2 linked regions of the Lonchura striata genome follow. The protein of the gene in region 2 purifies or fractionates together with the protein of the main gene of each other region. This does not show direct contact. Links are inferred from orthologs where the notes say so. Each region holds a gene or a part of one and is shown on either strand. Other genes may lie near its edges. The genes, in order: NOP58 and NOLC1.

Region 1 (11,929 bases), on a different chromosome or scaffold from region 2:
ATGGGCATTTATTCTAGCCCAAATCATCAACTTGTGGTCTCCACCTTGTCTCTTCATGGCAATGGAACTTTATATGACTCCCTTGACTATTCCAGGTGAATTCCTGAAGTATGTAACAAGAAAAGGAAAGCTACCGGCTTCCACTTTGGGTGAAGAGGAAACCTTTCTCTAAATGGTGGGTGCAAACTGAAAAATCTTGTAAACAAGATTTCATTTACAGAAGTATCTTGACTTACAGAGAAGGCCATGCCACGTACTCAGAAACACTTCAAGCAGTGCAGCTCAGCCAGACACAGGAATGGGGCAGACAGGATGAAACAGAGCTGTTGTAGGAACTCACCTGTGTGCCAGACCCAGGCACATAGCTGCCATCTCTCGAGAAGGGAGGCCTGTTATGAGCCCTTCAATCTGTGAGCGAATTCCTCTCATCAGCTCTGTAACCATTGGGCTGTGTATACAACTCAAATTCAGCTTCTCCTGCAGTGTGGAAATCAACGGTCCAAAATCAGGCATAGCACAACATTCCTCTGAAGTCTTTCTTCCAGCAGCCTTACATCATTTTAACTGGTTTTCCCACTGCAATCCTGTGATCACACAAGTTTCATCCATTTTTCATGTTCAGGGCAGTGACACCCCCAGTTCCCCACACAGTTAATATTCCACTTTGAAAAGAGCAGATTTATAATTAATATTCTTATCTGCTGTGTAGAACATTCAACTTAAGAGTCAAGATATTGAAGTTTACTAGAAAAAGTTTGGTCACAGAAAGAAAATTCAGAGGTAGAGGGTTAGGGACTTTGTGACTTTTTCAGAGAATAAGACTGAATAATTAGATTAAAGTCTTTGCACTTTAACATTAAGCTCTTATTTTGCAACCTACAGAGTCTCCTAAGACAGCATGACAGAACAAAGTTCAGTGGAACAGGGAGCAATTGGACATGAGATGGGCAACTGGTATTTGACACCAAGGGGACACTGGAAAAAGCAGTCCACCTTCACTGAACTTCCTTCTTTCTCTGGGCAGGCAAGGACCAAGGGGTGTGCACAGCTACCTGCACACTGAGGAAGGTACAACAATGCCCACTCCCAAAAAGACAATAAATCACCACCCTACTACTGCTTCATGTGTTAGTGAGGAGTATGTGTCTGCCTGGCTTGGGTTTTTTGATCAGTTCCTTCCTCCCCTCTTTATCTGGATTGGATAATTAGAAAATTAATTTTTCTACTTGCTGGGTTTCTGACCAATGTTTAAGAGAGAAATCAAGCAAACCTGAAGACCTCAGTGCATTCTTACCATATCAGTCACCTGTGTTCTCAAGACAACATCTTCCCTGTACACACACCAGGATTAACTATCCTCTATATTGCAAACACAGCACTGGCAGCATAATCCACTGCAAAACCTCTGAAATCCGACTATAGCATTTCAGGAGCATGAGACAAAGGAAAAACAAAAATCAGTTATCACCTTTATGACACCTCCAAGTTTGGCATCTGCCACAGCCAACTGCTCGTGGGCATCTTTTGCCACGATCTTCTTGAGAATCTTTTTCAAGTTCTTGCTGAGCTTGCCTTCTACAAGAGCTGTGGATGCTGCATAAAACAAAAGACCAAAGATACCGTTTCCTTCTCCTAAAACCTGTAAAAATATTACTTCTAACTTCATATATTTATTTTAACTGTCCATAGTAAAGTCTAGTTTGAGCTGCAATATTACTTCACCATGCAATAGCTGAAAATCAAAATAGAAGAAAATTATACACATCCTCCTCTGAAGGCCTAAATCAAAAATCTTTCTCCTAGTTGCCTCTCCTTTCTCCGTATGTTTTCAGTTCTATTTTTGCCAATTTTGTTTAAGGATCTCTACAAACAGTATGCCATATGCTTTAGATCCATGCTTAACATTTCCAACGGCAAAGTTATATGGGAATATTTTGTGTATAATTTAATTAACCAACCATTTGCCAGGTCCCTTAGGCAGCAACCAAAATATCCTAAATTGAGTAATGGCTTATTTGCATTCTCTGGTGATGATAATGTACTATCTAAAGCCCCAGGAATAATGCCAAACTGGACAGTCAGACAGACCCTTTTAATACAGCATGCAGACAGGAGAATCTTTAAAAGATGTTCTTCATTCTTAAATATTAATAGATCTGTAAAAGCTTTACAATCCCACACAATATATTTTAAGCAGGCACTTATACAACTCTGAGGGTCAGCTCTGTGCTCCACTGAACTTCTGGGACTGATACATCTCTAACACAGTAACAGAGCAGCAGCCAGTGATTTTTGGTTTCCAGAACCTAATGACATGTAGGAGTAAAATCAAAGTGCTGTGCTGAATTTCCTCTCAATCCTTCTACAATGCAGATAATTTTCTACCCTGCAAGCTGGCCAACAGCATCTAACCCCTTGGAACAGTCACATACGCCTTCAAAAATAAATGAGCCATAAGTCATCTGAACCTCTCCATTTTGCATACAAGTCAACTTGAAGCAAAGTAGTAGGTGTTAGATGTTTTTGAGGTTTTTTTAACCAGCCTAACTATACATGAACTGAACCCAAACCTATGCAAAAGCAGCATAATCAAAAAAATATGCCACAATGTACAACAGCTCTTTTACTTGCATCTCCTGTTTGATGGTTGTGTCTCCATTCTTGTTTCTTTGCTTCTTTTATAAGCTATCCCTACTGCATCAGAATATGAAGATCTTTAATTATAAATGTGATGTGGAACACTCACCTACTTAAATCATACAGCACATTCAGCAGTAATTGTCACACCATTTCTGAATTATTGCCTAGAATTCCTACCATTTCTGTTCAAACCAGGCCATATATCAAGCATTTAAGTGCAGAATTCATAAAAATTATTGAATATAAGGTTTTCCATTTTGCTTAAACTCCTAAATTTGAGGAGAACACAGACCTTTCTTAGGCTGTATCCATAAAACCCAGGTGGTTGTAATAATGAATGACCTCTAATACCTATCTGTTGTCTCAGTGGTAGTGACGAATTATTGACTCAAATCAGTGATATTCAGCTTCAACAAGAATCCATCATTGACAACAGACAGGCTACATGTATCAGTCACAACTTATATGGTGCTCATTTATAAACTGCTGGAATATATGCACTGAAGGAAAAAATGACACTTTATTACATCTTTACTGCACTATAGACTGGATAGGTGACTTCATAACCATCAAAACCAGCTCACTTTTAAAAACTTGTAATTTAAAAGCTAAAATAATAGTGTTAACTCACTTACCAGCAAGTGCTTCTGTTGTATCCTGAAATTTTTCGAAGTGTTTCAGCTTTACTCTACAGAAATAAAATAGAAGTGTGCAAACAAGTGTATATAAACCATATCCTAGAACCATTTTTTTTTCTGCCTCTGCTACTACAGCTCCTCTCTTTTCCCTACAGCTTCAAAAGAACAATATGCAGACCCTCAAAAAGGACTCAGCGCACTAAACTGGCCAGTTGAGTCTGGTGTGACATTTCAGCTCAGTCTCACAACTATATAAAGAAAAAAAAAAAAAGGAATTTTGATTTGGCATTTCTTGGACTGACATCACCAGAAAACCTAACCCCCAGTTTTGCATTGTAGTTCATATTTAAAGACAGACATCATCCGTTTAAATTTCAACACTGCAACCTGATTGACTGATGATAGCATCTTCCCACTCATCTTCAAAAGGAAATATTCTGCCTCTGTGGAATGAAGAGCCTGCATAGCTCAGATTTAACATGCTTTTCAACCAAATACATCTTCAAAGACTTTAAATTTGAACTGATTCATTGCCCATAAATCCTCAAGTCTTCCCCTGTAATTAGATGTTAGAATACAAGTTCTGAACTGAGTTTAAGACAAACAACAAAAATTTCTTAATGCCCTAAGTGCTGACCAGAGCCAAGAATCCTATGAAGACTGTTTAACCACACTGTGACAGATCCTTAGGTACAGCTTCCCTCTACCCCTCACAGTCTGTGGTGTTGGTATATAGTTACAGTTAAAAAGCTATCTCAATCCAGTAAATTCCTCGTCAGGGACAGGCATTTAACTAATCCAGCTCTGATTAACAACTGCTGATTGTGAGTCAAGTATCAGCAAAGGAAGCAAGGTCACAGATACAGCTGAATACTTGAGTTAAGCATTTGCAGATCTCAACAAAAGCTTCAGGCTTACACTGATGCCTTTTCAGAAAGGCAAAAGAGGAATTATTTTTATCAGAATGGAGATCCCATTAAGAGCCACATTCTGTATAGCAAGTGGCCAAGACCATGTTTCCAGGACAAGATTAACCACACTACAAACAGGCAGATGTAGGATATTCTGGACTCCGCTCTAAGTAGTGTTACAGAGCAGGATAAATATGAAATGCATAGCTTACTCAGATACATCCATTATAATCAAAGCTGGTTAGAAATCTTCCAATAAAATCACTAGACAGACTTGGAAGGAATCCACCATTGTCCCCAGCTTTAGGGCAATTTGCTAGAAAGGCTGGCTTGATTAGAGGACGCTGCAATCCCTGTGCAGCTCTGCAGTGGTGCTCTCACTGATGGCATGGCCAACAACACTAGCTCTCAATTCAGTGATTTATGTAGTTCCACCTGGATTAAGTTTTATTTTTCCCAAAAGAATTTCCTGTGAGCACAAAACCCTGGCATTTCACTGACACTTCCAGCATTAAAAGCTTGGATGTTCTTGTCAAAGCACCCACATTACCTTAAAATACTGTTCAATTTTTTTGTTTTGGTGACACATGGTAATGACTTCTACTGCTTAATTACACTGTAAGGTATTTCTTTCATTTTGATATTCCATTGTAAGCATCTCAAAGCATCTCAGAGTATCTAACTTCACATTATCATTGCTCACAGCTTTTACAATACTTTTTGAAATAATAATTTTTGAAACCCAAAAATCAGTACTTCATTCTGAACCTCAGCTGTGTGTGACTACAGGCAGCCATGTCCTTCTTTCACAAGCCACACTGCTATCCCTACATGTAAAGCTGCTTACATTTTGTTTGCTTTTTCAGGAGTTTCAAATTCTTTCCACAGACTGTCAACTTCCTGAAGCTTTTTCTCATTCAGAACCTGTAGGAAAAAGAAACACAGCACACAAGTATATTTAGTTATTCAACCTAGGAAACCTGAAACATTTACAGTGTATCCAACCACTTTGCAGTAGGTAACACTGAGTCAACAAAGTCAACCTCAATGATCTGTGTTTCACCATTCTCCCTCAGCAGCTTTACCCTACTAATAGACAATAGTGCAACATTTTTACTATCACCTGAATTACAGAAGTTCTTCAGTAATGGCTGCATCCTCCTGGACCTGGCACATTAAAGCAAAACTCTATCAAAACTGGGCTTGCTCCGCCTCCTCTACAGGACTCATAATCATGGTGACCCAAACCCAAATTTACCACTGCTTTGGAAAAATAAAACATCTGGGAAACCTAAAAGAAAGCACTGATCCCCCAAATTATTTTCATTAATCAGACCTAACCCAAACAAAAAAGAAATTCCTGTAAAGAACAGTTGGAACCACAGCTTGATCATCAACCAAGCCAAGAATTACCTAAGAGGCAGCAATGGTTTAATCACATCTCTGTACACAGGGAACCCCCTCAGTTTTAAGCAGCACAAGATTAACACACTGGAGCCTATAAACATTTCACAAAATGCAGAGTGCACAGGAAATTCCCAAAAAATTGTTCAGGGGAATAGTCGAGATCTTTACAACACTGAGTTCTTTACATCTCACTCAATAATCTTGTGGTTTTGTCCCCACAATGCAAATGCAAAGCAATTGCAATTTAACTCAGTGCAGAAATCATTCCTAGTATTATGAATTTTGCTCCCTGGCAGATTTCTAAACCGTGGTTGAAGGAGGTTGTGTTTTTTTAAACTCAATTTGTAGAATTGACATCCCACATGACTGTGAGGCACAGCAAAACCTTGGGGCAACCTCAGCCAGACAATTCTTTCCCGCAGTTCATTTTTCCTACACCAAGACCTACAGAATTTTTAGCCTCTATAAACAGATATAGGCACATAGAGAAAATTAAAGACACAGAAACTGCTAAAATCAAGACTGGTACTATATAAAAATGACACACCTATGGAAAACTGCTGACACCTGCAGCAAACACTGCAGCACCTCTGCAGATACCTCCCTGGAGTTCTCTCTGTATGTCCCTTCTCCTACCTTTGCTTTATGCCTGATCTACCTTCAAAAATTAAAATATTAAAGTTTGTATTAAAATATTGCCTGAACTGTACGGCTTCACCCCAATAAGGAGAAAATGTTTTAGGGCAGAGAAAGGAAATATAGAGAGAGCAAACCAGCAAGGATGCAATTCTGCTGCAGGCAAAGGAAACCAGACCCTTCCTCTCTTCGCATCTGCACTCATGTTCACACAAGCTAAAACCCAAGACTAAGCTGAAAGGGGAAAAAATAGGAACGTTATTATGAACAAACGATGACCAAGCTGTACATGCATCAACACTCGAGCAAGAGAAAAGCCAGAAATGAGCACGACACTGTATCAACTCTAGTTTAGGCTTGCTCAAAGTCCCAGGCAGCTGCAGCCCGGAGCCACCCGGTCGGGAGGCCGGCAAAGCCCTGGGAAGGTGTGTGCTCGTCCCTCTGGGAGAGCGAGGTCGGGACACGAGAAGCCGGCAGGCCCAGCGCAGGGCCCCGCACGGCCGGGAGACGGCACCGCCCGCCACGCGGAACAGAAAGCGCACAGAGAGCATCACTTCCTACCAAATCCCGCCCGGCACAGGGGAGGAAGGGAGCGCCAGAGATGCCTCTTGGCAGGCACCGAGTAACTCCCCTTCTGCCCGCCGAGCAGCTTGCCCCTGCCCCGGGGCCTCTGCTCCCACCCTCGGCCCTGCTCGCCCCGCGAGGGGCCGCACGGGATGCGGGAGCCCTCACTCCCTCCCTCACTCCCTCCCTCACCCCCACTCCCTCCCTCTCCCTCACCCTCACCCCCCACCGTGTTTCCCCGTTATTCCCTCCGCAGGCCCGACGCGCTCCCCTTCGCCCTCCCTTCTGCTCCGCCGCAGGTCGGCGGCCGCGACCCTCCGTGCGAGCGGCAGCGCGGCCCCGCGGCTCACCTTGAAGATGGCGTAGCCGGCGGCGGTCTCGAACAGCACCAGCATGGCTGCGGCGGGCGCCGCGTGCGCCGCCGCCACCGACCGCGCTCAAGCACGCGCGCGCCGCGCGGCGGAACCGGAACGGGAAGCGGCGGCGGCAGCGGAAGCGAGAGCGCGCGGGGAGCGGAAGCGGCGGGTCGCCTTCCGCCCGCCAGCCACGTGGCGGGGCCGCCCCCGCCGCGGGTTCGAGTCTCCTGACGCACAAACACGCGGGAGCTGGGGCGCCGCCGGTGTGCCCTTCTGGCACCTCACCCGAGCTGTCCTCGCTTCCCCGGGTGCCGCAGTTGGCGGCAGGGTCGGCCACCGTTGATAGGAAGCGGGTGTGTTCCCCGGGACGCGAGGGGCCGTGCTAGAGACTTTGTTTCCCGAACGGACCCCGAAGCAGGGGTCAGCGGGTGGTCCTCTCGGCGACCCCGAGCCGCACCGGCCGCGGTGTCGGGGTTCAGCGGCGCTCCCGGCCCTCTGCACGTGGCGGGTTGCGTTCTCTGCCCACTCCGCTCTCGCTCCCGTGGCCTGACCTGCAGCTCATCGCACCGAAAGCATTTCCTTTGCGTAAAGAATTGTTGACACAGTGCGATTGCGAGTATTTAAAAGCTTGGCTTCGCCAACAGACAAGCACCAAATTGCTCGTATAAAACGCGTTTCGAACGCTGCGTGTTTCCCCGCGCTGCTCGGCTCTCCCCGGGGCACGGGCAGCTCCGTCTGCGGGAAGGCACGGCCCGGGGCGCTGGGGCGGCCACTTGAGCCTCCTCCTACTCTGGTGCCACCTCGTGCTTTGTCCTTGGCACAGCCCGGGCGTGCACAGCGCGGCGCCTGGCTGACCTTCTGTGCCGCGGCCCTGCTGGGGAGCCGAGCAGCTGCGTGCCGGTGGGAGGCGGGCGGAAAGCGCCGCTCCTTGCCCTTAGAAATCCCCGCTTATTTCATACGCAGGGTTAGCTGTACTGAAAACAGGCAGAGATTTTCCTGCCCGCAGGTAGAGAGGCTCCAAGAAACGCTTTTGATTTATATCAGACAGTCATTGCTGCGTTTTATGCAACCATCTGTATGAGTCAGCATGCCTTTGTTTCCAGGAGTACGCTGGAAAGTCCACAGTGAGAGAAATCTGTGGACTTTAATATTTCTGAAGATTTTTTTATTCAAAGGAAAGACTTTGGTACTTTACATCACATAACCAATTTTCTTAAAATCCCACAACCAGTAATATTGCCAAAGAAATTAGGTTCAAGGAGGTAGAGAATTTCCAGGTTCTACCTAGTTTTAAAGTACTATTTCTGGCCCTGCTGGCAGAGTACTCTTATTATGTAAGAGCTACTGTTAACTTAGCTGGTTGCCCTAGAATACTACATTCATCCTGTTGGCTAGCACTAACTGCTATCAGGCAAGCAAATTGGTATTATGAGATTACAAATTGTTTATAGGTTAAAGTCTCCTTTTTAAAGAAATCTGTTTCTGATGGACTGAAGCTTTGCACAGACTCTATGTATGTGTGGGCCAATAGCTTTGAGAAAACCTCTTGCAGCTATTGGCTCCTATACAGTAGCTTTGGAGAAATCAGTCAACAGAGGTGAACTTTATTGGCATCAGGTGACTGAGGTTAAGTGCAGGTAGGAAAATAAGAGACATTATAAAACACCTGAGAATTCAGTGAGGTTGTTAGGGCAAGTACTATGGGCAGTGCGTGCAAATGCAAGGCTGGCTTTGGGTTTTGTGGGAAGAAGCTTGTGTAAGTATATTTGGTATTTTTTAAACAGCTTTTGTTACTTTCTCTTTAAGTGAATTCTATGTTGAATTTGAGCCATTGAAAAAGAAAAGTGAGAGCTTTACTGCTGTGCATCCACAGTTTTCACAGTCTTAGTGGAGATTAACTTTGAAGATCCTGTATAAAACTAGCTTGTGTCTTGGAGAGCTGGTGCATCCACAATTGATGGAATAAGAAGGGTGGTGAAAGGTGGTGCTACTGTTAGTGTGTGTGCTGATAAGCACATTCTAACCCTGTATCTTTATGGCTATGCATGTGGATAGATAACTGCACTCTAACTCATATGAGTGTTAGCTTTTATTATGGGATTACTTGAAAAAATTGGGTTTGTGCCAGAGTCTGAGACTTTGGCCTTAGCACAGTAAGGCTCTGTTTTTAAAAACCCATTTAAAATTTATAAAAAGCAGTAATGTTCAGGATAGAATATTTGTCATTTTCCATTTTGCTAGTATTGTGCGTTGTTGTGGAGCCCTTGCATGGCTTATTTTGGTGCTTTGTGTGTATTATTAAGCTCATAATGAGCTCTTACTGTGAGCTTGGCATAGCATGAACATATTTGGCTTTTCTGCTTGGCCTTGTCTAAGAAAGATCATCTTCATTCTCTAGCTCTGTATAGCATTTGTTTTGGTTCTCTTTATTTATTTTTCCCTCCCTTGTTAATTCTGACTTGTTTTAACAGTTGTGATTAGAACTAATTCCCATGAGTCTAGATACTGATTGTTCTGCTGGCTGGCAAAAGTGCACCTCTTGGTGTAGCTCTGTTTGTAGCTTGGCATTCACTGATAAGCAGAAATGCAGGCACAGAGATCAGCTGCTTTGGTGTTTGGTGTTATTACAAGGGAATATGGCACACAGAGCATTGGCCTGTTTATGTTAATGAATGCCTCTTGCTCAGAGCTAATGAATGTACTCTGCACTTTCCCAAAGGTAGATGGTAAAGTTGAAACTCTGTTTAGTAGCATAAGGGTAATAATCTCATTTTTTCAATTGAGCTAGTTTCTGTTGATTCATTAATTTTACATTCATGCTATTTCATGGTTCTCATGTGTGGAGTTTTTTTTCTACTTGCTGGTGGTCACTTAGATCTAAGCATATGCCAGTAGTGATGCCATGCAGGAGTTGCCTGAGCAGTTGTAGAGGGGATGTTAGGACTCCATGCTATAGTCCAAACAGCTTGCAGCCTAAATGTAATCTTTTAGGTAGATGTTATTTCTTGTGCAGACTTCTGAATAGCGATGCTGTGCCAATGTAAAGCAGGGCACCTGTTCTAATGATACATCTTTGCAAATTTATTCAAATGCAAGCCTGGCTGCAGATTTGCTTAATACATGCAGATCCCATTGCTTGCATGGTTGCAAAAAAAACACTGTCTCTAAACAAAAGTGAGTTTTGCTATGGCATATTGTCTTAATAACAACCTCAGCAAGATATTAGAGGTAGGCAGTATGAAAGTGATTTTTGCTCCAAGATCTACTATTGTGGGAAGGGTTATGTGACTTCACATAATTGTCAGGATTGGAAGGGATCTCTGGAGAGCATCGAGTCCAAGCCCTGCCACGCAGGGTCACCTGCAGCAGGTGACACGGGAACATGACCAGGAGGGGTTTGAATATCTCCAGAGAGGCAGACTCCATGACTTCCCTGGGCAGCCTGTTCCAGTGCTCTGCCACCCTCAACCTGAGAAAGCGCTTTCTCAAGGTGAGGTGGAACTCATTATCTTTTAGTTTATGGCCATTACTGTTCGTTCTGTCATTGAGCACCACTGAGAAGCGTCTGGGACCATCCCCTTGGCACCCGCCTTGGAGGTATTTCTGTGCATTCGTGAGATCCCCTCACAATCTCCTCCAGACTGAACAGGCCCAGCTTCCGCAGTCTCTCCTCATGAAGAGAGATGCTCCAGGCCCGTCACCGTAGCTGTGGCAACCCTGGCTCCGGTCGCCAGGGCTGCCCTTAACGTTGGTCGCTTCTTTCGACGGCGACTCTCGCCTCCCCCGCGGCCTCGGCGGGAGCCGGTGCCGCGCGAGGGCCGGGCGGGGCCGCAGGCGGGGCCCGGGAGGGAAATGAGCTCAGGCGCACCGGAAATCCCGCCCGTGCCGCGGCCCTGTGTTTGCGCTGCGGGCAGAGAAAGGAGCGGAGCGCTTGCAGCGGCCCAGCCGAGCCTGCCGCACGACACGGGGCCGAATCATGTCTGACCAGGTACGGGCAGCTGTCCCGGCCGCGGGGGAACGGCGCGGCGGCCCCGGGGGCTCGGGAGGAGCTGCCGCCCCCCGCCCGCACTCTCCGCCGCCGCGGGGCAGCCCTGCCCGGGGCGGGCAGAGTCGCGGTCGCCCGGAGGGCGCCGGGGGGAACGTTCTCCGAGAGGAGTGTGTGTGTGTGTATGGATGGATGCCGATCTCCGACCTCGGCCGATTCGGGCCCCTCTCCGCGTGCATTTTAATCCTTTTCTCTTCTTTCCTCGGGGTGTTTCGCGAGGAGCGCGGTCGGGCTCCAGGCAGGGATACACGGGGGCCGGGGCGGTGTCCGGACGAAGCGAATCGCCGCCGGGACAGCCCCGGCCCTGGAAACCCGGGAATGCGGCGAGGGATAAGCTGTGTTGCACAACTGTTGTTTCCTTTCGTTTTTCGTTTCCCGGGTGTGTGGTAGGATGGTTTTCCCCCGGAGCGGGCTTTGTGAGGGTTAGGCTAGGCTTGCCAGGTACTCCGTTCGCCCGAGGAATGTGAAAGCCTGTTTTTCTCCCCCTCGTTTCTCAGCTGAGCGTTGCTTGCTTGTATTAAACACCCCGTCCTTTATGAAGGCTCTGTCCTGCCTTCGCTCCAAATAATATTCTCGTTATGCCCACATCATTTCTGTTTTCTGAGCCGGGGAGTTGAATAGTTGCTTGTACCGCAAGTTCCTGGGTTGCTCGGCCTGGCATGTATACAGTGCTTTGCCTACAACTATTGCTTTAGGCTATATGTCCTGCTAGTGGAAAGTTAAAACGGCGTT
Region 2 (11,929 bases):
ACCACTATGGGGCAACCTGGCCAGCAAAAACATTAACACAAAAGAATTAGAACTTTATTTACTGAATTACCTGAGTCACTGTCAGAACTGGATTCAGCCTTCTTGCTAGTCACAGCTTTCTTCTGAGGGGCAGGGATTGTTTTAGTTACTGCTGCTTTGCCTGCAAAAGAAAGTTTAAAATTAATAGGCCACATCCACACCAAACCTTTGTCCCTGGATCCAAACCTTACCAGATGTGAAAAAGCTCCACTCTCAGTATACCAGCTACTCAGCCAGCCTACTGGAAGCTCTGCAAGAACTTCACTTATTCCCACTAAACTAGATCCCAATGACTTTTCAAATCAGCATGTACAAATGCAAGCTGACCACAGTTCAGATCCACAAGTTGTACAGAGTGTTGTTTGGCTTGCCTTCAAATTAGTCAGAAGATTCCAGAAGACCAAATAGCAACATAGAGCAAAGACAAATGGCTTTTTCAAGGAAGCCAAGACCTTGCAGAAACCTTGTTGGCACAATGTAGTACTTCCCATGCAGCCTCTCCTCCTCACAACGCACCTGCCTCTGCCTTTGAGGGCACCTGCTCTGCCTCATCACTACTGTCTGAAGAGTCACTGCTCTCAGCCTTTTTTGCAGGAGCCTTAGCAAGTCCCTTCTTTGTCTGTGTTCCTTGAGGAGGTGGTACAGCGCTGTATGGGCCTATGAAGAGAAACACAGCATTCAGATGTCAGCAGGGTAATGTGAGCAGCACAAGGTGTTTGTTGTATTCTGCTGTTCACTTCCATTTATTCCCCTTCTGTAGCTACAATCCAAAACTAGCTTATAGATTATACCCACCTCACTGCTACCTCCTTGTTTTTACTGAGTTTAACTCTCATCTAGGGGTTCAGCTGACCCAACCATCTCTGCAGAAGTTGTCTCTGCACTTTTAGAAGAACAGGAGCTTGTCAGCAAACTTTTACAGAAGGAAAATCAGATATGTCAATTTTTCATTGTTTTCATTTATTGCCTTTTCAAATCCTCTGGTTAGAGAGTCAGACTGACCTTAGATGATTGACTCTCTACTCAGACCAACTCTCTACTGGAAGCCTAAGGACATTATACCACACTAAACAGAGGCCCATTGAGCCCATCAGCTGGACTCCAACTGAATGGCCCTGGATACTTCACAAAAAAAAAAAAAATAACCAAACTATTTAGTATTTTTTACGTACCAGATTTTGGCTTTTGCTTTGCAGGTGGCTTTTCATCATCTGAGCTGTCAGATGAGTCCTCACTACTGGAACTTTTCTTGGCATGTTTGGTTTTCCCTAGACACGCTTGAGTGGCTGCAGGTTTTGGCAGAGGTGATTTCTTGGGAACAGCCTTATCAAAAGAAATATATATTAAAAAAAGAAATTGCAGAAATCTTGTGGGGACAACTGGATGTGGATCTTGCTTAACTCCACACCTCACTTAAGAGCAAATTCTCAAGACAAAGGGAAAGAGATTAACCAAGATTCTCAAACACAAATTTTAAGAAACACATGAGTATCATTATCTTTCTATCTCCTCTGCTATTGTTTTCTGCTCCATGAACCCCTAATGATGAGCTCCTCTGGACAAAAGGATGGAGGACTGACTGAAATTTAGCAACTGCCACATGATTAAAAACAACTATGTTTATTTTTGTGTTGCAAGAAACATTTTTAAACACTTGCTAGTGGAAAACTCAAAGCAACAGCTAAACATGAAAGAGTCAGACCAAAGCAACTTTATAAAATGGAGACACAATATAGTTATGACACAATAAGATGTTTTCCTGTAAAGGAAGGAGCAGAGAAAGTAGTAAGGAGATATTAGGGAAGAAAGCAGTACATGAAGAGATGCTAGAACACATAATCCCACCATAGGAAGGAGAAGCAGGTGTAAGAGTTATGTTGAGCACAGCATCTGTGTAGTCTGTGCCTGCAAGATAATACCCAGTGTTACTAGACTTCTACACTGTTCATTAATTTTTTTCATAGTCTAATTTACCTTTTTTGGTGCAGCCTTTTCCTCATCAGAATCTTCACTGCTGCTGCTGCTACTGCTACTGCTTGCTGCTTTTCCATTGACAACTTTGGTGGCTGCCTGAGCAGCTTTACTTCCTTTTGAGAGAAGTAAAACGGGACATTGCAAAACATGCTATGTAGATGAGGGATAATTACATAGAGCAGTGAGTATCTTAGAGAGAAAAGAACCACAGAGCAGATTAAGTAGTACTGCTTTTGCAGTAGTACTGCAAAACTCTTGGTTTATCCTACTGCAACCTTAGAGAAAATTTTCTGGAAACTGTCTTGTAGCTCATGGGAAGTTCCAAAACTAAAGGCTTAGTAATAATCTTCCCTGCTGTTTGAGGAGACGACAATGGTAAAAGTAATAGATAAACAGTTATTCAAACAATGTGGTGCTCAGGACCAGATGTTTTATTTTCATTCAGTTCTACACCTCTATGTCAGAAGAGACTAGACTGGAGTGCAAATGGCAGCAAAAGCAGATTTTCAGACTGCTATGTTAATACGTATGTCTCTGCATGTAGGTACAGCCCCCAGCACTCCTCCCCCTGCTTTTTGGATTTTGCACTTTACTCATGATACACAGTAACAGGTACCTGATTTCGGTGTTGCTGCTTTTGGTGGTTGCTTCTTTGGTGCTTCTTCATCTGAGCTGCTTGAGTCAGAACTGGAACTCTCTGCTTTCTTCTGAGGCTGGATTTTGGTCCCAGCTGGCTTCACCACAGGTTTTGCACCTTTCTAAACAACAGCAGGAAAAACTGATTAAGCCTCAAAGTCATGAAAAGTAAACAAGGCTAATAAGATGGACACATATACAGAGTGTAGAAACAGCTGTCTTTCACAGAAGTTACGATTTAGATTTGAAAACGCCAGTCTGCTTAGTGGTCAGGGTCTGAAAATCCTGGGAAAAGTTTTGCTCTAGAAAACCTCCCAGAAATGCACATCAGTCTTCAGTTTTGCCTCCTGAAAATGGGGCAGTTCTGAGGCTGGCACTGTCCTCTTCTCTTATCTACAGATCCCACTAGCTTGAAGACTGAAAATAATGACTGGGCAACTCTAGTTGGTCTCCTCTAGTGTACAATGTTATCACTCTTCCTCCCCTGACATCATTGTTCCTTGCCTCCACTTCAAGACCATGACTGCAGCAAGAAAAAGCAAAGAGAAGATTCTTTTTTTTATGCAAACACATACACACACCCATATACATAAAGATCAAACTCATAGTACTGAATCTTTCTTTACAAAGGAATTAAGCCCTGGCAGTCTTAGGATAAGAGCAAGGACCAGACTTGGATATGAAACAAAGAGGGTGGGTGCAGGACAAAAAATTAACTTTTCCTGGGACCAATCCAAACTGCACTACAGAAATGTCTTTTTGCATGGTTATCTACAGCAGCATGGGCACTTCATAGTCCAGGGATAGTAAGCCCAATATCCCACACAATTCTGTTGGTTAAATTTGCTAGTATTCATCACTGTCAAACACACATTAAAGATGCTGGAAAGAAAAGCCAACCTTTGCTGGCTTCTTTTCCTCCTCCGAGTCTGAATCATCGCTGGAGTCCTCACTGCTGCTCTCTGCCATCTTGGCTGCAGGAACTGCTTTTGCTTTGGGCACAGCTGATGCTTTAGCTGCAAAAAAGGGACAGTATACATTGATGGCAAGTTAATTCACAACTTTCTAGTACTTACATCCTGCACTAGTGGGTGTTAGGGCAAAAGGATACATTAAGGTAATTAAACCATGACTGAAGTTTGTAAAACTGACTTTGTTTCTTGAGCAGTGTATGGCAGACTGCTCTAAAATGGGTAAGCAAAAAGATAAAACCATTCCAGGCTTTATCTTTGTCACACACAAATTTAAGTGCAGATTTCTATCACCAAAGAGGACATCCCAAAAAGAAAGAGCACCCCTCAAACTGAGATAATATTAGCTGGGTCTGCACACCTTCCAGCTTAAAGAAACCTGCTGAACCAGTACTGACTGGTGCTTGCAAAGAGAAACACTGCAATGTCGTGTTAAGGTTCCAGACACCCAAATGTGTTTTGGCCAAATCCACTTCCTGGTTACTGACTGCTTTTCAATAATGTGGAGCAAAACAAAGAGTTTTGTCTTATATTATATTTACAAATGTCCTTATCAAATAAAAATAAGATCTAAATTCAAATTCAGCTTTAGGATGGCCCAAGTTGACGACAAATTTTTCTGTGTTTCTCCCTTTCCTCATTTATTCTTTCCCTCCTGTAAACCTACTGCTAGACACACACAATCTTGTGTACAGTGATTAATGAAAGATACAAGAACAGTTTCAGATAAAACAGAAAAATCTAGCTCACCATATAGCAAAGTGCAGCACAGGGATATATTTTTTGGTAGCACTAGTACATGAGCTCTAAAGAAAAAAGGGCAGCAACCTCACGCAAGCAGCAGGTGAGTATGGATACCTAGGATTTCTCTGGAATGGCTAAAACCTTCCATGGGACACAAACTGCTGTGCCTAAATTTTAACAAGATACAGAGATCAGCCTTAACTAAAATGAACCTATCTTCCATGTCATGGGTAAAAGACCTGCCAAAACCGAAATCAGTTAATACAAACCTAATCCCTGACAGCTGCTGAAAGACCTTAAAAGAGCAACTGAAGTTGAGCTCTAAACGCACGTGAGAAGCCAATGGCAAACATAATCCGGGTGTGCACCAGGGCGGCGCACAAACCTACCACGTTTCTTGGCCGGGGGCTTCTCATCCTCTTCGCTGGAGCTGTCACTGCTGCTGGCGGACGGCTTCCTCTTCGCCTGGGCGCCGTTCGGGACCAGCTTTCCCTTCTTGGCCGCCGGAGACCTGCGGGCAGAAGGGCTGAGCGGGGTCCCGCGGGGCGCGGGCCGGGCGGAGGGACACCGCACCCCGCGGGGACTTACCGCAGCCAGTAGGTGAAGATGTCCAGGAGGGAGGCCGCGTTGGGGTCCTGCTCCTTCTAAAGCGAGAGAGGCCACACTCAGTCAGTCAGTCAGTCAGTCAGTCGGTCGGTCGGTGGGTCGGTCCCCCCGCCCACCCGTCCGTCCCGTCCCGTCCCGTCCCGTCCCGCTCCGCTCCGCTCCGCTCCCCGCTCACCGCCGCCGCCTCCCTGGCGAGGGCGCGCGCGGCGCCCTGGCAGCCGCTCTCGCGCAGGAACGCGAGCACGAGGGGGAACAGGTCGCTGGGCACCGCGCGCCGCTCCGCCATCATGCCGCGCCGACACGTGCCGCGCGCGCACGCGCCCGCGCTTGCGAGCGTGCGTGCGTGCGTGCGTGCGTACGCGCGCCTACGTGACCCCGCCCCTACCGCTGCCGAGCTGCCCGCGCGGCGCCGCTCCGGGGCGCTGCCCGGCGTGAGGCGGCGGGCACGCTCCGTGCTGCTGCTGCTGCCGCCTGTGGGGCAGCGGCGGGACAGGGGCTGGGAGCCCGGGAGTGCCCACTCCGCTCTGGATTCGACTCTTAGACTTAAGTCCGCTTAAGACTCACCAGCTTACTCGTACTTGTAATCTGTTGTAAATGGCTGAAAGGAGACCGCTGGGGGAATGCTGGAGAGCAGGAGCTGGGCTGCTCTGGGGCGGAGAGCAGGCTGGGAGCTGCGGGCAGGCTCGGTGCCGGCAGAGCCCTCAGCAGCGCGGCGCAGCCCCGCAGGGCTGCGGGCGGAGCTCGGGGCCGCTGCCGGCACTCGCCGCTGCTCTCAGCCTGAACCCATACAGGAACGTACTGAATACTCCTGCAAAATCCCTACGGGAACAGAGAGAGCTGGTGAAAGTAACACCATAATCCTAAAGCGGCAGCCTGTGAGAGACAGAAAATGAATTTGAGACAAGGTTGTCTAGAATATAGGCTTGAGGGGCTTCAAGGTGGGAGATAAGGTATGAAATAGGTATAGCTCAAATAAGTGCTGAAGACCCGGACCTGACCTTAAATGGAGCTTCTGGACCTATGGAAAAGGGTGGATGTGGAAGCCCCAGATGGGGCTGAGCAGGACAAGCTTAGTGTGTTAGTGTGCTCACAACACTGATGAGGATGAGGATGAGATTTAATTCACCTGTTGTATATTTAAGTAGCTTTAGTTACTTTTACAGGAAAGTTTTTGTTGGTTTTTTTTTTTTTTTTTTTTCTGTAATACTGCAGATTTGCTCTGCTGGATGTAGCTCTCTATTCCTGCCTTTGTGATGAATGGCACTTTTCTTCTTTTCCTTCAATAGATGGTACTATAAAGCTTGCTGAGGGCCAAGGAAGAAGAGAGTCCTGTACTTAAAGTCTAGATTTAGGGCTGCCAGGCTCAAAAAAACAGTGGTAGGTAGGCAGTATTTTGCTTTTTATATTTCCCCTACCTAGCTCTCTGCACTTAACTATTTCCAAATACTGCTGTTCTGTGCTCTGTGGGTGTTCTGTGCCTTGGTGCCCAATGAATATGCACAACTGGACGGGCTCTGTTCTCAGCAAATTGTACCTGTTCCTGGTGTTTCTGGAAGGACCCATGTTTGCACTCATGGGGAAACAGAAGTCAGCTCTTGTGGTATTTTGTACTGTAAGATTCTGTAATTTTGTACAGATGCTGTAGCCTGTGTGGCAGAAAAGGGGTGTTGTGCGGAGGCTTGGTTAGATATGTTTACTTGTTTTTGAGATTCCCTGCCCCTTTTATGTGTGGAATAACACGAGGCTGTGTTGCAGAAAGGAAACTGTTTGCAGGAACTAATAGTTTTTGTAGTTTCCCCTCTACAGTGACCTACAGCTGCAAGCTTCATCTGCAAAGCTCAGCAAACTTTTGTGTTTTTGCCTGCGTTGGAAAGGAAAAGATGCAGCTTTTGCTGGTAAACTGTTGTTACTTTAAGCCCTGCTGTGTGAAGTAACTGTGTGAATTTCCCTGGCTGTGAGGAGCCGGGAAAATGACTGACTGTGTTTGCTTTACTGGCTCACTTTGCTTCTCCTCTGGTTAATAAGTATCTCCCTCTCCTGCCTGGCCTTTGCCAGCTAGGTCTGTTCCCTGTGCTGTGTAGCCGCTTCTCTTCAAAGGTGTGTGGCTCTCTGGGTGTGTTCGCCTATGCTGTGCCTGCAGCTGTCCAGATCACCTGGCAGGGAAAGCCATTTTGTCCTTGTATTCCCCAAGACAGTAAAATAATGTGGAACAGTCATAAAGTCATCCATTTGTTTAAATAGTTCTTAATATATACTTGCTGTTGCATAATAGTAAAATAATTTGCTTAAAGATTCTCGTTTCCAACTAGTTAACTTTTGTCTTTCATATAAATCCCAAGTTGGGATTCTTCTCCAGTGTCTGTGTGTTCTTTAGTGTATAATTTTGGGATGATTCAGAGGGGAAAGTTATGGTTTCTTCTTTGCAAACCTGGAATTACTCATAAAGCTTTATCATCAGGAAGTGCTTTTAGTCCTAGTGCTTTCCTATTGAGAGAACACCTGGGTTTTGGAAGACAGGTAGTGGCATGCAGTTTGTAAGCTTAAAATAGGTTTTCAGTAAAGAAAGATTTGGAGGTAACAAGAGAGTTTGACTAACTTCTGAGATAGAGTTTATTAGTGGAAAACAGTTGGTTCCTTTCTGCTTGTAATCACCTCTGTTCTAAAACTAGTGGTGACGTTAAGCTGTTTACAGAATGTCGAATGACTGCCTTGACTGGGAAGCCAGATTGTAAGGAGTCTGCTTTTGGTGTGAAGTGCATCAATGAAAGATCTCACTGGTTTTTCAAAGTGGTTTTTCAAAGTTTGCAAAGGAATAGGCTGAATAATTTAGGCAGAATCTGTTGCTTTGTCTCCAGTGACAAGATTAGTAAATTGAGTCCTACTCTCTGAACAATAACGTTGTCCTTCTGGTGCTTATTGTCTCTGTACTCAAACATGAGCACAGTCTTACAGAAACTGGTAAATTTCATTTGGAAGACAGCATCTTCTAGCTGAAAACACAGAACATCGAGCTACTTCATTCTTAGGGAGCAGCTTGGCTTCTCCCTAGGAGTTTTCCTTCCTCATAGAAGACATGACAAAACCTAAGTTAGGGATGAGTATAAAACAGGTATCGCTTATTCTTCTCCTCAACTGTTGTTCCCGGTTTCTTGAGACCACTGTATTACTGTAACACAACTTTCCTCGCTGTAGCGCTGTTTCCTCGGCCACCTACGGAAAGTGTGATAGGAGCCAGCTGGAACAGGCAGCTTCCCTCCTTGGGGCAGAGTCCCGCCGAGTACCGGAAAGGCGACGTGCGGCCGGGCAGGGGCAGCCCGTGCCGGGCTCTGCAGGGGGCGCCGCGGGCGGGAGGCGGGGCCGGGAGGAGCCCGGTGCCGTGCCCTGGGCTGTGCTGGGGGCGAGGGAGCGGCTCCGGGGGATGCACCGCCTTGCTGCGCCGCCGATGTGAGGGAAGGGGAGCGCCAGCCCCGGACCATGGCGGCCCCCGGTAGGTGCCGCGGCTGCCGTCCCGGGAGCCGCGGGGAAGCGGCGGGGCTTCTCCGCGCGGTTGTGCTGCGGCGGGCCGCGGCTGCCCGGAGCTGCCCCGCGGCACGGTGCCGGCAAGCGGAGCGTAGCGGAGCCCTGCCCGCTGCCCGCGCGGGGCGGTGCCGCTGCGCGGCTCTGCGCGCCCCTGGCGCTCCGCTGCCGGAGAAAGGGAAGGCGGTCCGCTCTCCGGGTTCAGGGAGCCCCGGCGCTCCTTCGCTCGTAGCGCTTTCTAGCTCGCCTTGCTTCGCTTGTCTGCAGTTCAGGGCAGCTGCTGGCAGAGCTTTCCTGCGTCTTAAGTGAACTTCGGCTTGGCAGATCAGCGACTTCTGAGGGAGGGTTTCTGTAGAGTATTTTGCTCGTGTCCGCCTGTACGACTTGTGTGCTTTTCTGTGATGTTTTATAGAGAAGTCAGTTTTTCCTAAATATGGCTTTATTCTTCAGCACCACTTCCTTTTGGGGGTATACTTGGTGCCTCTTGCCACAATGGCACAGGATCACAAGCTAAGCTAGTTTGCCGTAATTGAAAGTGTTTTAGCTGACGTGTGTGCAGGTAAGGCTACCTAGACTAAGAGTTGCAGACTCAAGGGGAGAGGAGTTTAGCCTGTATTGTGTAAATCTTGCTAATGCCCAATTTGCAAGTTCCTCTCTTTGCAGGGAAGCGTATGGGTTTTATCTAAAAAAGGAAAAAAAACGTGCCATTCTCAGGGTGTGAAGTAACATTTGTGTTTCATTGACGCGTATCTCCTTGTGAGGTAAAAATAAGTTAAACGGAGGTCTCGGGAGACTTGTGGGCAAAACTACTTTTCTCCTTATAAACAGAAGGTGATTTCACAGAGACCCTTAAAAAAAGAACAACTTTAGATTAATGTATCATAATGCAAATCTCTCGTTCCTCTCTGTGAAGTTAAGTTTGCAGAAATGTTGTCTGCTTTGGTTCTGCTGTTTCCTCTTACTTGTTTGCAGCATTTTATTTAAAGTGAAGATTTTATATTCCAGTTGAGGTAAGAAGTCTCATGTGATCACTATTACTGTGCATTTCATGTATGCAGAGTATGCATTTATTTCATCATACATCACTTAAATACACACACTTCACATACTGAAATGTGGAATGTGCTGAGGACTTATTTTAATGGCCCACCAGCAGTTTCTATGACTTGCTGGAAGTGCTCTCTCTTATAAGAATTTGATTATTAAGATGCTTTGAGTTGCATTTCCTTTATGCCATAAACAATTATCTTTAATGGAGAGTCAATTCCCATCTGTCAAGGATTGTTATTTTGAACAGCATTATTTCTGTATCCTCCATACACATGAATCACAAAACACACTGGAACAGGTTACATAATGCCTTTCTTATGTAGTCAGAGATGGATTTTCTTGTAGCAGATGAAGATAAATTGTTTGCCACTGCATATGATAAGTTAGAGTGAAGGATTTAGTCTGTTTTTTTACCTGGTCTGTGGGCAATGAGAAGTCATTATCTACTTATGAGAGAGAGGTGTGTGAAAGATGACATAGAAAAGTTGTGTATTGCTACAGCCCTGAATATTCTTTATGCGATCCATAAATACAATGGAAAACTTTATGATCTATAAATTGAAAAAGAGTCAAACCTTTTGGCTTATGGAATGAAACGATAGATAATAACAGTCGATAATGTAAGATGTAGTCTTACCCAGAGCTGATATGCCAGCTTCTCACAGTATTGTTTAGCTATTTCAGTGGTAATCAGAACCTTATGATACAGCCATAAACCACTATTGCATGTTTAGAGTGAGCCTAATGATTATCACCTCACTACGTGCAGACATAGTATGGAGATGTGCCTGATTTATTTGCTTTTCAGAGAGAGACTGTGAAGACATGACATGGTCATGCATACTTCTATATGCTTGCCATGAGCGTATATGATTTTTACTGAATTGTTTCAGCCTCTTCCATTCTATGAGCGATTTGTGTGCTGGGGAAAGCTTTGTATCATGCCATTTGTGCTGTTTGTGGGGCTTACACTTCAATGATGGGTCTTAGGCATGTCTATGGTACTAGTTTGTAATCTCACCAGTCTGTTATCGTTGCTGTGTAGTAAAGTGTGCAGCTAAACACTGGAGAGGCAGTTACAGCTGGAAAGTATTCCAAAGGTTATGGTTTAGCACTGCAAACTGCAACAGAACTGCACCTTTATGATTTTCTATGAAGCAAATGAACATACCCTGCAATATTGTTAATAGTGCTGACATTTTGTAAACAGAAGCAAAAGTATTTTTTATACTCTAAACTTAACAATACCTTGTTACTGGATTCCTAAAATTTAAACTTTAAATTTAAAATTTAAGATCACACTTGAGAGTGTGAAAGATAGACTTGTACTAGCCAACTGTTTTTCTTCATCTTGATATTGTATATAGTGTTCATATATTTCTTCCTTTAATTGAAGACTTTTCCAAAACCAGCCTGTAAAAAGCATTGTCAAACCATCTAAGAGCAGGGTTTAAGGAAATGTTCGGTGTTCACCAAAGGAGTTCCCTATATACCCACTATAGGCAGAGTATACATTATATTTTGTACTGTGCTCTGTGAGTTTTTCTGATGTTTGAAAAATTGTGAAAAACCTCCCTGAAATGTTATTTATTCTTTTTACACTGTTCCCTGAGGACTGAGCAGTAGTTAGTGCTGCAAAGGCAGCTATTTGGTTAGATAAATAATAGCAGGATCCAGGAAGGAGAGTCCTGTGTCATTCTTCTTTTAAAGGAGAATGTTGCAATTGAGGTTATTTCTAGATTTTTGGGGTTTTTTAAAAACAGTCCCAATGCTGACTTCAGCTTATTTAGCTCTGCAAGACCCACTTCCAGTATTTTTGCTTATGAACATGGAGCGTTACTTTGGCTCTACAAGTGGAGTCAGTAATTTTATTTCTCAGTTCTCATTTTAGGAGCGTTGTTCCTCAGTTTATTGTGTACATGTAAAAGGAGCTGAGGGAAGAAGGCCTGAGGAGAGCCGGTACAGCTCTGTTGAGGGGAATGGTGTTCTTGTAGAGCAGTGCTAGCTAGGAAATCAATACCTTTCCTAAACACCAGAGGAAGTTCTTGCCTGCTGGATGCAAAGGTTGCACTGTTCTGACAGGGAATTTGCAATTAGTCTGTCCAGTTTGCATCCTTTATCTACATAGCAGAGAAGGGAGGGATTCTTGGATACTTAGTGCCCCTGCAGTGCAAGGTATGTTTCAAATCAATGGCTCTTCCTCCTTGTCTCTGAGCACAGCTTACTTTCATTGAAAGCCTGGAGAAGGGCATGTTGACTCACAAGTATAGTTGTGGAAGCTGTGTGCTTCCTAAAAGTGAATGACAGGATTTTCCAGAGACTGGAGGTGGGTCTGGGTAGGACTTTAAGAGCTTTGGGCACACCTCAGAGTCATTTTGTGGTCTCCCCATCTG

The links.
Region 1: the proteins of NOLC1 (region 2) and NOP58 fractionate together in Homo sapiens (co-fractionation; 3 studies listed by BioGRID, with this or other methods). This does not show direct contact. The link is inferred for Lonchura striata from reciprocal best matches to the Homo sapiens genes NOLC1 and NOP58.

Annotation. Positions count from the first base shown.
Region 1 is NC_134610.1:26,729,827-26,741,755, forward strand, and holds the start of NOP58 (nucleolar protein 58), read right to left. Parts: upstream 7,275-11,929; 5' UTR 7,192-7,274; coding exon 7,147-7,191; intron 5,114-7,146; coding exon 5,037-5,113; intron 3,329-5,036; coding exon 3,276-3,328; intron 3,081-3,275; exon of another isoform or gene 2,992-3,080; intron 1,594-2,991; coding exon 1,469-1,593; intron 478-1,468; coding exon 341-477; intron 1-340. Other genes in the region: SUMO1 (small ubiquitin-related modifier 1), read left to right, coding at 11,129-11,140. UniProt on the Homo sapiens protein: Required for the biogenesis of box C/D snoRNAs such as U3, U8 and U14 snoRNAs. Part of the small subunit (SSU) processome, first precursor of the small eukaryotic ribosomal subunit.
Region 2 is NC_134609.1:13,344,989-13,356,917, reverse strand, and holds the start of NOLC1 (nucleolar and coiled-body phosphoprotein 1), read right to left. Parts: upstream 5,301-11,929; 5' UTR 5,260-5,300; coding exon 5,146-5,259; intron 5,009-5,145; coding exon 4,953-5,008; intron 4,876-4,952; coding exon 4,754-4,875; intron 3,666-4,753; coding exon 3,550-3,665; intron 2,772-3,549; coding exon 2,630-2,771; intron 2,127-2,629; coding exon 2,014-2,126; intron 1,363-2,013; coding exon 1,212-1,362; intron 697-1,211; coding exon 556-696; intron 161-555; coding exon 71-160; intron 1-70. Other genes in the region: PIK3AP1 (phosphoinositide 3-kinase adapter protein 1), read left to right, coding at 8,445-8,457. UniProt on the Homo sapiens protein: Nucleolar protein that acts as a regulator of RNA polymerase I by connecting RNA polymerase I with enzymes responsible for ribosomal processing and modification.